Linked DNA regions of Caenorhabditis elegans. The protein of the gene in region 2 purifies or fractionates together with the protein of the main gene of each other region. This does not show direct contact. Each region holds a gene or a part of one and is shown on either strand. Other genes may lie near its edges.

Region 1 (4,751 bases), on a different chromosome or scaffold from region 2:
GATTTTGTATTATTTTTGTATATTAAGTAGAAAAATTGAAAAAAAAGTTGTTTATTATTGGATTTTATAATGATTTTTTTAACGACAAAGTTATTAATTTAAGAGAAAAAATAACTAGCTCTAAACTCTAAAAATGATACTGAATTTCACTTTAAAAAATGTTTTTGAAAGATTTGACAATAGGTGTTTCAAAAAAAAAAATGTATATGATAAATCTTGTAATTCCGGGAACTCGGCTGGGTCTCACCACGAAAAAAAATATTTCGAATTAATTCTAAAAAAAATTAAAATTAGCAGAAATTTAATAAAGATTTTTGTATTATTTTTGTGTATTATTGTAAAATTCTTTTTAAAAAATAAGTGAAATTTGAAAAATTCATTTCGGCTTTTTATAATGATTTTTACAACAAAGTTTTAAATTTTAAATTTAAAAAAAAATTCGTTTTTTTTTCAAAAAAACTGAAAATCTTATTATATTCCACAAAAATTATCTTATTTTTTCAAATCACTTTTTTTTGTAATTAAAAAAAATTGAAATTTTCAAAAAATTAGAAAATTGCAAAAAAAAACCACTTTTGTTAAATTTAAAGTTTTTTTTTAAATTTATATGTAAATTCGCAACTTTTCGTACTTAAAGGTCTCGCCACGAGAAACATACTCAACATTATTTGATTTTCGCGTCGAGACCCAAATACATGAATTTTTACCTACCCAGCCATGCATTTCAACAACCAATTATCCGTATCAATTCCATATCTTTGAAATGAAAAATGAAGACTTCGATTCCAGAAGAATCGTGCATCACTACAATCATGTGAATCACGATGTTGAGCTGAACGAGTGAGATCATATGATTGAAGTGATGAAAAATAGAACATTTGAGATGAAAGTAGTCGTTGTAACTGCAAAAAATTGGAGGATTTTAAATGTTTTTTTAGCAAATTTTTTTTTGTTATTTTTTCTCGAAAGATCTTTTTTTTTTTGAATGAAAAACACATTTTTTAATATTTTTTTAATAATTTTTTCAAACATTTTTTTCAAATCTATAAATTGTCGCTGTAACTGAAAAATAGAGGTTTAGAGGTTTTTTGTCAGAAATATCGATTTTTCCACGGTTTTTTTGTAATTTTTTTTGGCTTTTGTGCTTTTTTCTTGAAAAAACAAAACGAATCTTTTTTACAAATTTTTTTCTGTAAAAATGATTTTTTTCTGCTATCCCGGCGATTTTTTTTTGTAAGAAATGCATTTTTTAAAGTAAAAAATTAATTTTTTACTTTTAAAAAATTTGCAATTGTGAAAAATTTGTATTTTTAAAGTTTTTTGGAGAAATAAATTTTTTCAGCGTTTGCACTGGTTTATCTGTAAAAACTGAATTTTTTTTGGATTTTTTTTTCGAAAAAAATGATTTTTTGAAGTTCCTAATGCTTTGGTCTAAAACTTCAAAAAAGTCGAAATAGCCCAAAAAAATTGAACTCAAAATTTGATATTAAAAAAGGTTCAAATTTTCGAATTCGAAACCCTGAAAATTCACAAATTTTCTTTTTTTCATTTTTTTTACAAATTTTACTTTTTTTGGATCTTTTTTAATGTATCAGATAAATTTTTTAAAAACTTTAATAAATTGTTTAAAAAACTTACATCGATAATTCTGGAATCAACATTTTCGACGGAACCAAACGTTCGTAACGATATAAATTCGACATTTGTAATTTTAAGAATATCAGCTCCATAAAGTTGTCCAACTGAAAGTACACCAGTAACAGCAACTAGAACAGCTTCATCTTTTGTAATAGCAAGTACTCCAAGTATTCCATAAGCATCAACTATCTTTTGATATGATCTTCGTTCAACGTCTGTTGAATCCGAATCTGGAAGAGGAGGATAATTTTGGCAAATGTGGGAAATTTTTAAAAAATTTAAATGTGGATGAGAAATATTTTTAAATTTCTCCAAATTTTCCTCTAATACCGAATATCTAAGGGAAAAAAATTCAAAAAATATTCCCTGATTTTATATTTCAGCTTGAAATCGCATTGCGTCTCTATGAGATTTTTCAAACGTCGAATTTCCGCGCCATGTGTCGATTTATGAGATTTGTGTATATTTACGAGATTTTCAATGTTTATCAGATGCTGATTTCTGTTTTTCATTGAGTTTCCTTCATTTTCGTCGGTTTTTGCCAAGTTTTTTTAAAATTGAAATGGGTTTTTTTAAAAGCCAATTAAACATAATATCATTAAAAAACTAACAAAATTTCCAATGTTTAGGTCACAACTCGACGGAAAATTGGAAATTTTTCCTTTAAAAAACACACTTTCAAAAATAATTGGCAAAAACCGACGAAAATCGAGGAAACTTGTTGAAAAACGGAAATCAGCAAGATTTAAAATCTCGTAAATCGACACATGACGTCTCTGGCGCGAAAATTCGCTGTTTGAAAAATCTCATGGGTTAACAAGCGATTTCAAGCTGAACTATAAAATCAGGGAAATATTTTTGAATTTTTATAATTAGAAATTCGGAATTAGGGGAAAAATTGGAGTCATTTGAAAATATTTCTCAGGTTTTGGTACTCCACCTTTGAAAAAAAAACTAAAAAACCGTAATAAAATGGATTGTTTCGATAAAATAATTCTATAAGTTCTGGAGTTTAAATTTTTTTTTCTTTAAAATTTCTCATCAGTAAAAAACGTAATACGGAATATTTTACCACATGTTTTTTTCAAATTTTCAAAAATATTTTGAGAAAAAAATGAGAAAAAACTAATTTTAAAAAAATGTTTTTCGGCCAATGTCTAAATATTTTTTAAACGAATTTATTCAACTTTTATCCAAATTTTCGGATTATTTTTTTAAATTTAAATTAATTTTTAAAATATTTTTGAATAATTTCTTCAAAAACCTTACCTAACGTTGCAATAGCTCCACCCTGAAACAAAAGAGATCCATCTAATCCATTCTTTTCGACAAGGATTGATGGTTGAAATCGTGCATCATTCCTCCGCCATATCCGAATCCCTCGAACTGACATTCTCTAAATAATCACAAATTCAAGAAAGAAAAAACACCAAGAAAACTAAAAAAAAATAAAAAACAAAAAAAAATAAAAGAACCTCAGTAGTGGTGGTGGTGGTGAGAATAGAATAACGAGTCTGCGCGGATGGCAGACTGAGTGAGACAGTACGTGAATAGAAGAGACGCAGAAAAATGCATTGGGAGAGACGCAGAGATGTGAATATATTGACGAAGAAAAAAGGAAGACGATGGCAGAAGGGGAAAAGCCCTGCGAGAAGCATATAAAGAAAGAAGAAAAAACCGACTAACTATACGTGTTTTGTCTTTTTAAATCTCTTAGGCCTCCCGGTCCCGGCCACGGGTGTCATTGGGCATTTTTTTGCAATTTTTCCAATTTTCGGAAAATCTATATAAAGAAAAATGGCGAAAATTTAAAGATATTATTTTGGAAAAAAATTATTTATTTTCGAAATGTCGAAGAAAATAGATTTTTTTCAATTTTTTCAAAAAAAAAATCGAAAAATTGAAAAGATTAACAATAAAATTCAATTTCTATCAAATTTTGTTTATTACGCGTACACAAATTTCTGAGAATGCGTATTTTGCAACATATCTCGTGGCCAAAACTACTGTAATTTATAATATATAAAAATACTATTGTAGCGCTGTTACGGAAATTATTCATTAATCGATAAAATATTTTGAAAGATAACACAGAAATGACAAAAAAAAATCGAGAGATCCCGTAAATGGGCATAAGCGCTACAGAAGTCATTCAACGGGATACTGTAGTTTTCGCTACGAGATACTTTGTGCGTCAGATATGTTGTGCTACGCATTCTCAGAATTTAGTGTTTTCGTGATATGTTGAAGAAATTCGAAAAATCGGAAAAATTTTTTTTTCGAAATATTGGAAAAACGAAAAACTGAAAAAAATCCCTAAACTTTTAGATTTATTTTTTCACTAAAATCTGTTTTTTTACGCCTAAGAAACAGAAAATTTTCGTTTTTAAATTTTTTAGTGAAAATCGGAAAAACAAAATTTTAAAAATTAAGAGATATTTTTTCGAAAAGTCGAAATATTGGAAAATCTAAAAGTTTTTGGTTTTTCGATTTTATTCAAAAATTTTTTTTTTCAATTCGAAATTTGTTCGTTTTTCGATTTTACTATTAGAGAACATTTAAAGATCGAAAATTTTAGTTTTTCCAATATTTTCAAAAAAATTTAATTTTGCGGAATTTCCGGAAAGTCTCTTAAATTTTCGGTAATTTTTCTCATACATTTTTCATTACTTTCTGAAAGTTTGTTTCTCCATTTTTGCGATTTTTAGGGAAAAACTCATATAGTCTCTCGCGATGGACACGCGTTTTCATTTTTTTGGAGACAAAGAAAAAAAATTATTGGATTAAAAAATATGATTTTAATGCACAAAACGAAGAGCACAACAACAGAAGAAAAAGTAATAATGATATAATAATAATGAAATAAATTATAACAATTCTCTCGATATTCCCTTCAATACTCTGAAAACATAAACAAAACGAAAAAAAGATAGAGAAAGAGAATGTAATTTGAGATCATTGTTGGTGTGACGATCGACTCTGCTTACTCTAACATTCCATATCATCAATCTCATTCACTTCTGTGTTTGTAGTCACAATCTGGAATAATTTTGAGATTTTTTCAGATTTCCGAAAGTTATGGTTTTATTCATGCGATGTGGAAAAATGCAAAG
Region 2 (6,349 bases):
AGTCTGACACCACGGGATAACTTACACTGAAAAAATACTTAATTGATGAATAACAATTCGAAATGCTAGGTATGGTAGTTGGAGTAGATTGAAAGAGTTACATTTCTGAAACTTATAGTTTTTGATCTAACAAATAAAAATTAATTTAATTTACCTTCTTCTGATTGGAACAACTTCTACCTTTTTTAATTCGATTTGAATTCCATAGTGAAGAAAATGGACGAAATGATAGTTGCATTCGTTTCATGTTCAAAAAAAAATCGATGAGATATATGGTGCACAGGTATGAGAGCAGATGGTGCAAGTATATGACGTCACTAATAACATAACTGGGTGTCTGTTTACAGTACTCCTCGTGGACAATATAATATTCCGGATATTTCGAAATTTCGTTTTCATTTCAGTTTTTTATTGATTTTCTTGTTCATCCACTTCTTTTTTTAAACAATTTTAAAATTGATAAGACAAGAAATTTGACTTTTTTCCATCTCCGAGTTCAAAAAAAAAATAGTTTAAAATCAAATTCATATACTCGAAAATAAGTAATTACGAAAATAAGTAATTTTGCAATGAATTTTTTGATGTTGAAAATAAGTTACTAAATAAAGCTAAAAAAACTAATAACATGCTGCTATTTTAAGGGAGATTTGATAAATGCACATTTTTGGTAGTGTAGAGAGTACATAGAATACATGGTAATGTGGGTCAGGGTATTGCTATTGGAAAACGCATCGGGTGTGGCAGACTGGGGGAAAGTAGTGGATGTATATAAAGCAAGTAGTGTTTTAATAAATACAAAGATTTCGGCACAATGGATCAGGAGAATTAACTATTTTAGCCTCATAGAGACCATAGCCCATTCTCTTCTAAATGAGTACTTTTCAGGGGTTCCTAGAGAAAAAGTGAGATTTGGAAAGGGAAATAAAATATTTTTGTGAAATAAAATTCAAGAGACAAAGATGAGGAGCATGGCTTTGGAGTTGGGGAGAAAACGAGAAATTGGCAATAAAACAGCAAAAAATGGAAAGAATTGACTGGGTTTTGGAGGGAGAAATACATTTTTTTTTATTTAAGAGGCACTAGAACCTGTACATAGGTAACAGGGAATAATCCAGTTTTTCCATTCACACGTCCTTCGTACCAATTCTCATCAATTTGTGATACCAACTCAATCAGTGTTCCTTCTTTGAAATCCAGTTCTCCTTCACTTTGAGCATCAAAATCGAATAGAGCTCTGCATTGTGGCTTCTGCTGCTGGGAGAGTGGAGGTGGAAGTCCACCTGGTGGAGGTCCTTGATATGATGGTGGTGCTTGTGTTATTCCTCCTCCATTTTGTGGTGGCATCTTAAACTGGACATAATATTAGAAATTGGATTGAAAATTGAATTACTAGGTTTTTATTCAAAAACAAAATATTCTAATCAAGGGTATCGCTTTTTCGATTTTTTAAAATAAAAATTGAAAAACGAATAGTTTCGATTTAGAAAATTGATTTAAAAAATTCAATCTTCAAATTTTTTATGCTGATGGGAAAATACACAATTCTCTTATAAAAGTAACTTATTTTCAACAAACAAAAAATTCGACTTTAGAAAATTGGTTTTTTTTAATTTGTAGTTTTTTTTCGAGAAAATTTACCCGTTTTAAGAAGAAAATTGACTTTTTTTTTTCATCAACCAAATTTTTAAAAGTTTGAAATTTTTTGTCAATTTTCCCAATATTTTTCCGATTTTTAGGATTTCCGGAAAACCGAAAAATCTGGAATTTTCGTTTTTAAATTTTTAGTTTTGTCGGTTCGAATAGAAATTGATTTTGCGAAAAATTTCTTTAAAAGTTTAGACACTTCTGTTTTTTTAAAGAAAAATTATATGTTTTTTATGAGAAAAAACTAAAAAATTGAAATATTTGGTTAATTTTATCCAGAAAATTGATCAATATTTCGGCTTTCTGAAAAATCAAGAATTTTCAGTTTTCTCGTCTCGAAAAATATCTGAAAAGTTTGATTTTTCAATAAATGTTTCAAAAACATTTTTTAAACATTTTCCGGTCTTTTTACAAGTGTTTTTTTAAAATTATACCATTTTCCAAAAAATTTCAGTAATTGAAATCCGAAAAACTGAATCTCCAAAATTCGTGTTTTTTTTGTTGAAAAGTCGCACTTTTTTCAATTTTTTCTGAAACAAAAAAACGTACGGCTGCGGCTGCCGTAGAATTGTGACTCATATCCGATGGAGCAGGCGATCTGAAACTGAAGAGATGTTTTGGAAGAGGCTTTTAGCATGCAAAAAATAAAAAATCAATCACAATATGAATCAGGGAGTACTGTAGCGGGGGGTACTGTAACGAAATTTAATTCTTATTTTTTTAAAATTAAATTTAGAATGTTTTTTTGGTTGTGTCGTAGAATAATTTTCAATTTTTCGGTTTTTTCAAAGATAATCAAAAATCAAAATTTACGTTGTTTCTTTTAATAATTTTTTTTGAAATTTCTCAACTTTCAAAAAAACTTAAACTAGTCTAGCTTAAAAAACACCGAAAACATTTCAATTTTTCAATATTTTCGTGTCAATCAGTCATTAAACGATCTTTTTACATTCATATTCCTTCCAAAAAAGTATTCCTCCGGCCGTAAAAAGACATAATGCGATGTAATCAATCATAGACTCTGCATGTCTATGTCTGTGCTTCATATGTTTTCCTCCTTTTTATTACTTGTGAATGATGCTTCAGTGCTTTTTCCGTTTCTTAAGAGCACAGGGGGTTTTCTCTTTTTATGATGCGTGGGACCTTTTTAAATCGAAAACAAAAATGGAAAACGCCTAGTTCCGGCTTTATATATTTTTTCGTATCTTTTGAAAAAACTAATTTTCAGGTAGATTTATGAAATAATCTCTGTACTCAAAATTCAAAATTTCTTAAAAATAACTAATTCTATTCTAACTTCTCGTACAATTTTCATGGCGTTTCAAAGTTTTGAGAAGAAAACAAAAATCTAAATTTAGCTTTAAAAAACTTCAATTTTGCCAATTTTTCCGTGCCACAGCGGCCCGAAATTTCAATTAATCCTCCAATATTCAACATTTTTTTTGGTAGTTTATTCAGCTTTTTGGGGCAGCTCCATTTCAATAAAATGTTGGCGAAATTGGAGATTTCAGCTGAATCTCAAAAGTGCATCTCAAGAAATTAGCTGTTTTTTAAAAACTAGGTCTTTTTGAGCGTTCAAAATCTCACAACAAACATGCATTTTCTCACTCTTCATGCTTATACCAACCTGGATCTTGGAGTTCTGCTCTCATTTGCAAGAACTGATAATGGAACATGCTCTTCACGAGGCCTGGCAGCTGCATCTTTGATTCGATGGCCAAGTTGTTGCTGTAGATTTTCGAGACATTGGGCTGTTTGTCGGTGGAAATCGAGTTGGGCTTCAATGAGGGCTCGTAGTTGAGATATTTGCTCGACCTGAAAAGAATTTTTTTGTGATTATATCTAAAAGGGGAAGTGGAAAAAAATTTCAGCAGATTAAAAAAAAATTAAACTTTGACAGCTTATATTGAAAGGAATTGTATAAAATACTGATTAAAAACATAGTATAGAACAGGATCAAAATTCGAACAATCCTCGTGGCCTATGATTTCGCTAGTTAAATTTTGAAGGTTTTTCGTTGATTTTTCTGACATAAAAATTCGAAATCTTAACGGATTTTTCCCGTTTTTCTTTTGTTATATTCGTAAGTTTGAGAATAATCCTTCTTAAAAATAAAACTAAGGGTAACCGATGTCAAATAGCAAGTCTAATAGGGGAAAATAGTAAAAACTTCCAAAAAAAAATCGTAAAACTCACATCATTACTAAGCACATTGAACATTGACATTTCAGCGAGTCGCTTTGATTCTTCCAGCTTCTCCTCCGCCTGAATCATCTCATCATCACGTCGTTGCTGACGCTTTTTGCAGTCGTAGTCAAGTCGACGTCCTTTCAGTTTTGTGCGGTGGTGCTGAATAATGAATTAATAATAAACCCTTTTTTACGCAAAAAAGCTTACATTCACATCTTTCAGCTCATTATTCTGCAAATGTGTTAATGGATCGAGAAAGTTTTGTTTAACATTATCCTCCATTTGATACTTGATATCAGCCATTTGTCGATACGTTTCTGCAGCATCGTTTAGGCTCTGGAATTGAAAAAAATTGTAATTTAAAATTATGATTAAGAAGATTTTGAAGCCGTGCAAAAAATTTTAATCTAAAAAATACCGAAGTAGTGGTTTTCTAATATCAACCTAATGTTTCAATTAAATTATTAATATAAACAAAATAAATAGTAATTTTATTTTTGCTGTATTTTGGTCACATTTTCAGAAATTGCTCACAGAACAAATATTGACAAATGTTGCTAAAAAATGGGTTTTTTTTCAGAAATTAAAATTCCAAAAGGGATGGCAAACCTTTCCCAAATCGCTGTTATCACCCAATTGTTGTCCATATTTCTGCATGACGTCAGCCAACATTCCTTCTGTTTGTGGATACGGTGACGTTTTTGTAGTTCCACGAACTTTTGACAGGGCAACTTGTGTGGCCATTTTTGCTCGAGTAGCTGGATTTGGTTGAAGATATTCATTTGTTCCGGCGACGAGATCCGTAATTAAATTATACGTTGTATCCACATTTTTCTCCATTTCATTGAACACATCGTCAAGTTTTGTTGGCTCTGCGGCGCCCATCGTCTCCGAAAGGTATTGATTCGCCTTGTTGAATTGCTTACGTAACCCCGACAACGACATTTTTCTGAAAATTTTGAGTTTTAGATTCGGAATAACATGTTAATTAATTGATAATTAAAACAACTGAAAATAAATATTCAAAAACCAGACTTATTTTCCTTTAGATTTAAAACACTTGGGAATCACGGTGAGCAAGATTTGAAAGTTTCGATAAAATGAGCTTCTTGAATTCTTGGAGTTTCGCCTGTGGATTTTTTATTTTAAATGAAAGAAAATACCACTTAAAGATCAGATAAAACTGTTGAAAAATTATAAATTCTAATGATTTTGTAATAATAAATTAAAAAGTGTAAAAATAATTTCCACCCTTGTTTCAGCAGTTGGAATACAGTTTTTTTTAATCAAAATATTTATCTTTATTGTATATTTTGGTCGGTTTTCTAGAAAAATTTCGATTATAAGCAAAATTTGGCACTTTTTTCGGATTTTTCATCAAATTTTGAAATTTAAAAACTATTTTTCATAGGTATAATCTGGTATTTTCTATCAATTAAAACAAAAAAATCCACAGACCCTCAGGCTGTATGTAAAACTTTGCATTAAACCTTAAAACTGAGAGAACTAAAGGTTGAACATTATAAATTCATGAAAGAAACTGTGCAGGAAATCTAAAATAAAACTGACATCAGGTAGATCGCTACAAACTTTTTCAAAAGTACAACTCGAATTTTCAGTTCGAAGATAAAATCCTCAAAAGTGCAGTTTTCTCGGAAAAAGCATTCCAAAAAGAAATGCTAATGTGAATGATCTTATGATCTAGGATTTATTCTGATGTACACTTTTATGGTTATAAAGCATGAGAATGAGAACTGAAGGAAGTTTTAAAAACTCTAAATTTCAAAGAAAACAAGTTCCCAGTAGAAAGGTAGAGCTTCAGAAAAGTTGCAAGAAGCAATTAAAGAAAAAGCCTGCTTCGGAGCAAGAGAGGTAGTTAACCATTAACTAGACCTACTTTCGTATTCCGGAAAAAGGCGGGGACACACACACACAACACAACGCCGGACTCTAGTAAAAGGAGAAGCACGGGAGAGAAAGATGGGGGAGGAGAAGCCGTTGTGCACGGAGAGCTCCACCCCCTCATCTTCTTCTTCGTCTTCTTCTCTTCAACACCGCCAACCCCACAGATGTATCGATTCAGTTATTTTCGTTTCGTTCCTCTGTGTCCTCCATCCTCTCTGCCTTTCATTTTTTTTCTCCGACCTCGGGCGCCCTCTTTCCGCGCGAAAAGAGAGAGAAAGATGAGGAAAAACTCACACAGACACACGAAACACACTACTCTCACACATAGTTCCAACCGAAGAGAGCACCCCGAAAAAATAGAAGACGTAGATTACGTAAAGCAAAGAAAACTGAGACGAAGAAGACGCCGTTAGTGGTGGTGGTGTTGTGGGGGAGGAGAAGGTTATTCTTTCTTTTATCTATGTGGCAGATAGAGGGAAAAAAGACGAATCGGTGTATATTTGCTTGTGCATGAAAGACTCTAGCCTACCCACTACTTAATGTTTGTGTGTGTGGATAGGCATAATGATTGGGCACACTCAAGGGTTGCTACTTGGAAAAATCTGGAAAA

What was found.
Region 1: the proteins of unc-57 (region 2) and unc-26 purify together in Caenorhabditis elegans (affinity purification with western blotting, with the first as the bait; one study listed by BioGRID). This does not show direct contact.

Annotation. Positions count from the first base shown.
Region 1 is NC_003282.8:13,269,481-13,274,231, forward strand, and holds the start of unc-26 (Synaptojanin), read right to left. Parts: upstream 3,037-4,751; 5' UTR 3,032-3,036; coding exon 2,908-3,031; intron 1,869-2,907; coding exon 1,639-1,868; intron 903-1,638; coding exon 712-902; intron 1-711. Other genes in the region: cpsf-3 (Cleavage and polyadenylation specificity factor subunit 3), read right to left, coding at 4,627-4,677. UniProt on the Caenorhabditis elegans protein: Probable inositol 5-phosphatase which regulates synaptic vesicle recycling in neurons by regulating clathrin-mediated endocytosis.
Region 2 is NC_003279.8:4,673,569-4,679,917, reverse strand, and holds unc-57 (Endophilin-A homolog), read right to left. Parts: upstream 4,784-6,349; 5' UTR 4,780-4,783; coding exon 4,444-4,779; intron 4,171-4,443; coding exon 4,042-4,170; intron 3,994-4,041; coding exon 3,841-3,993; intron 3,460-3,840; coding exon 3,272-3,459; intron 2,249-3,271; coding exon 2,194-2,248; intron 1,351-2,193; coding exon 1,066-1,350; 3' UTR 511-1,065; downstream 1-510. Other genes in the region: T04D1.2 (F-box domain-containing protein), read right to left, coding at 26-105, 155-247. UniProt on the Caenorhabditis elegans protein: Involved in synaptic vesicle (SV) recycling in neurons probably by regulating clathrin-mediated endocytosis. By controlling SV endocytosis, regulates the rate of excitatory postsynaptic currents (EPSCs) at neuromuscular junctions and thus locomotion.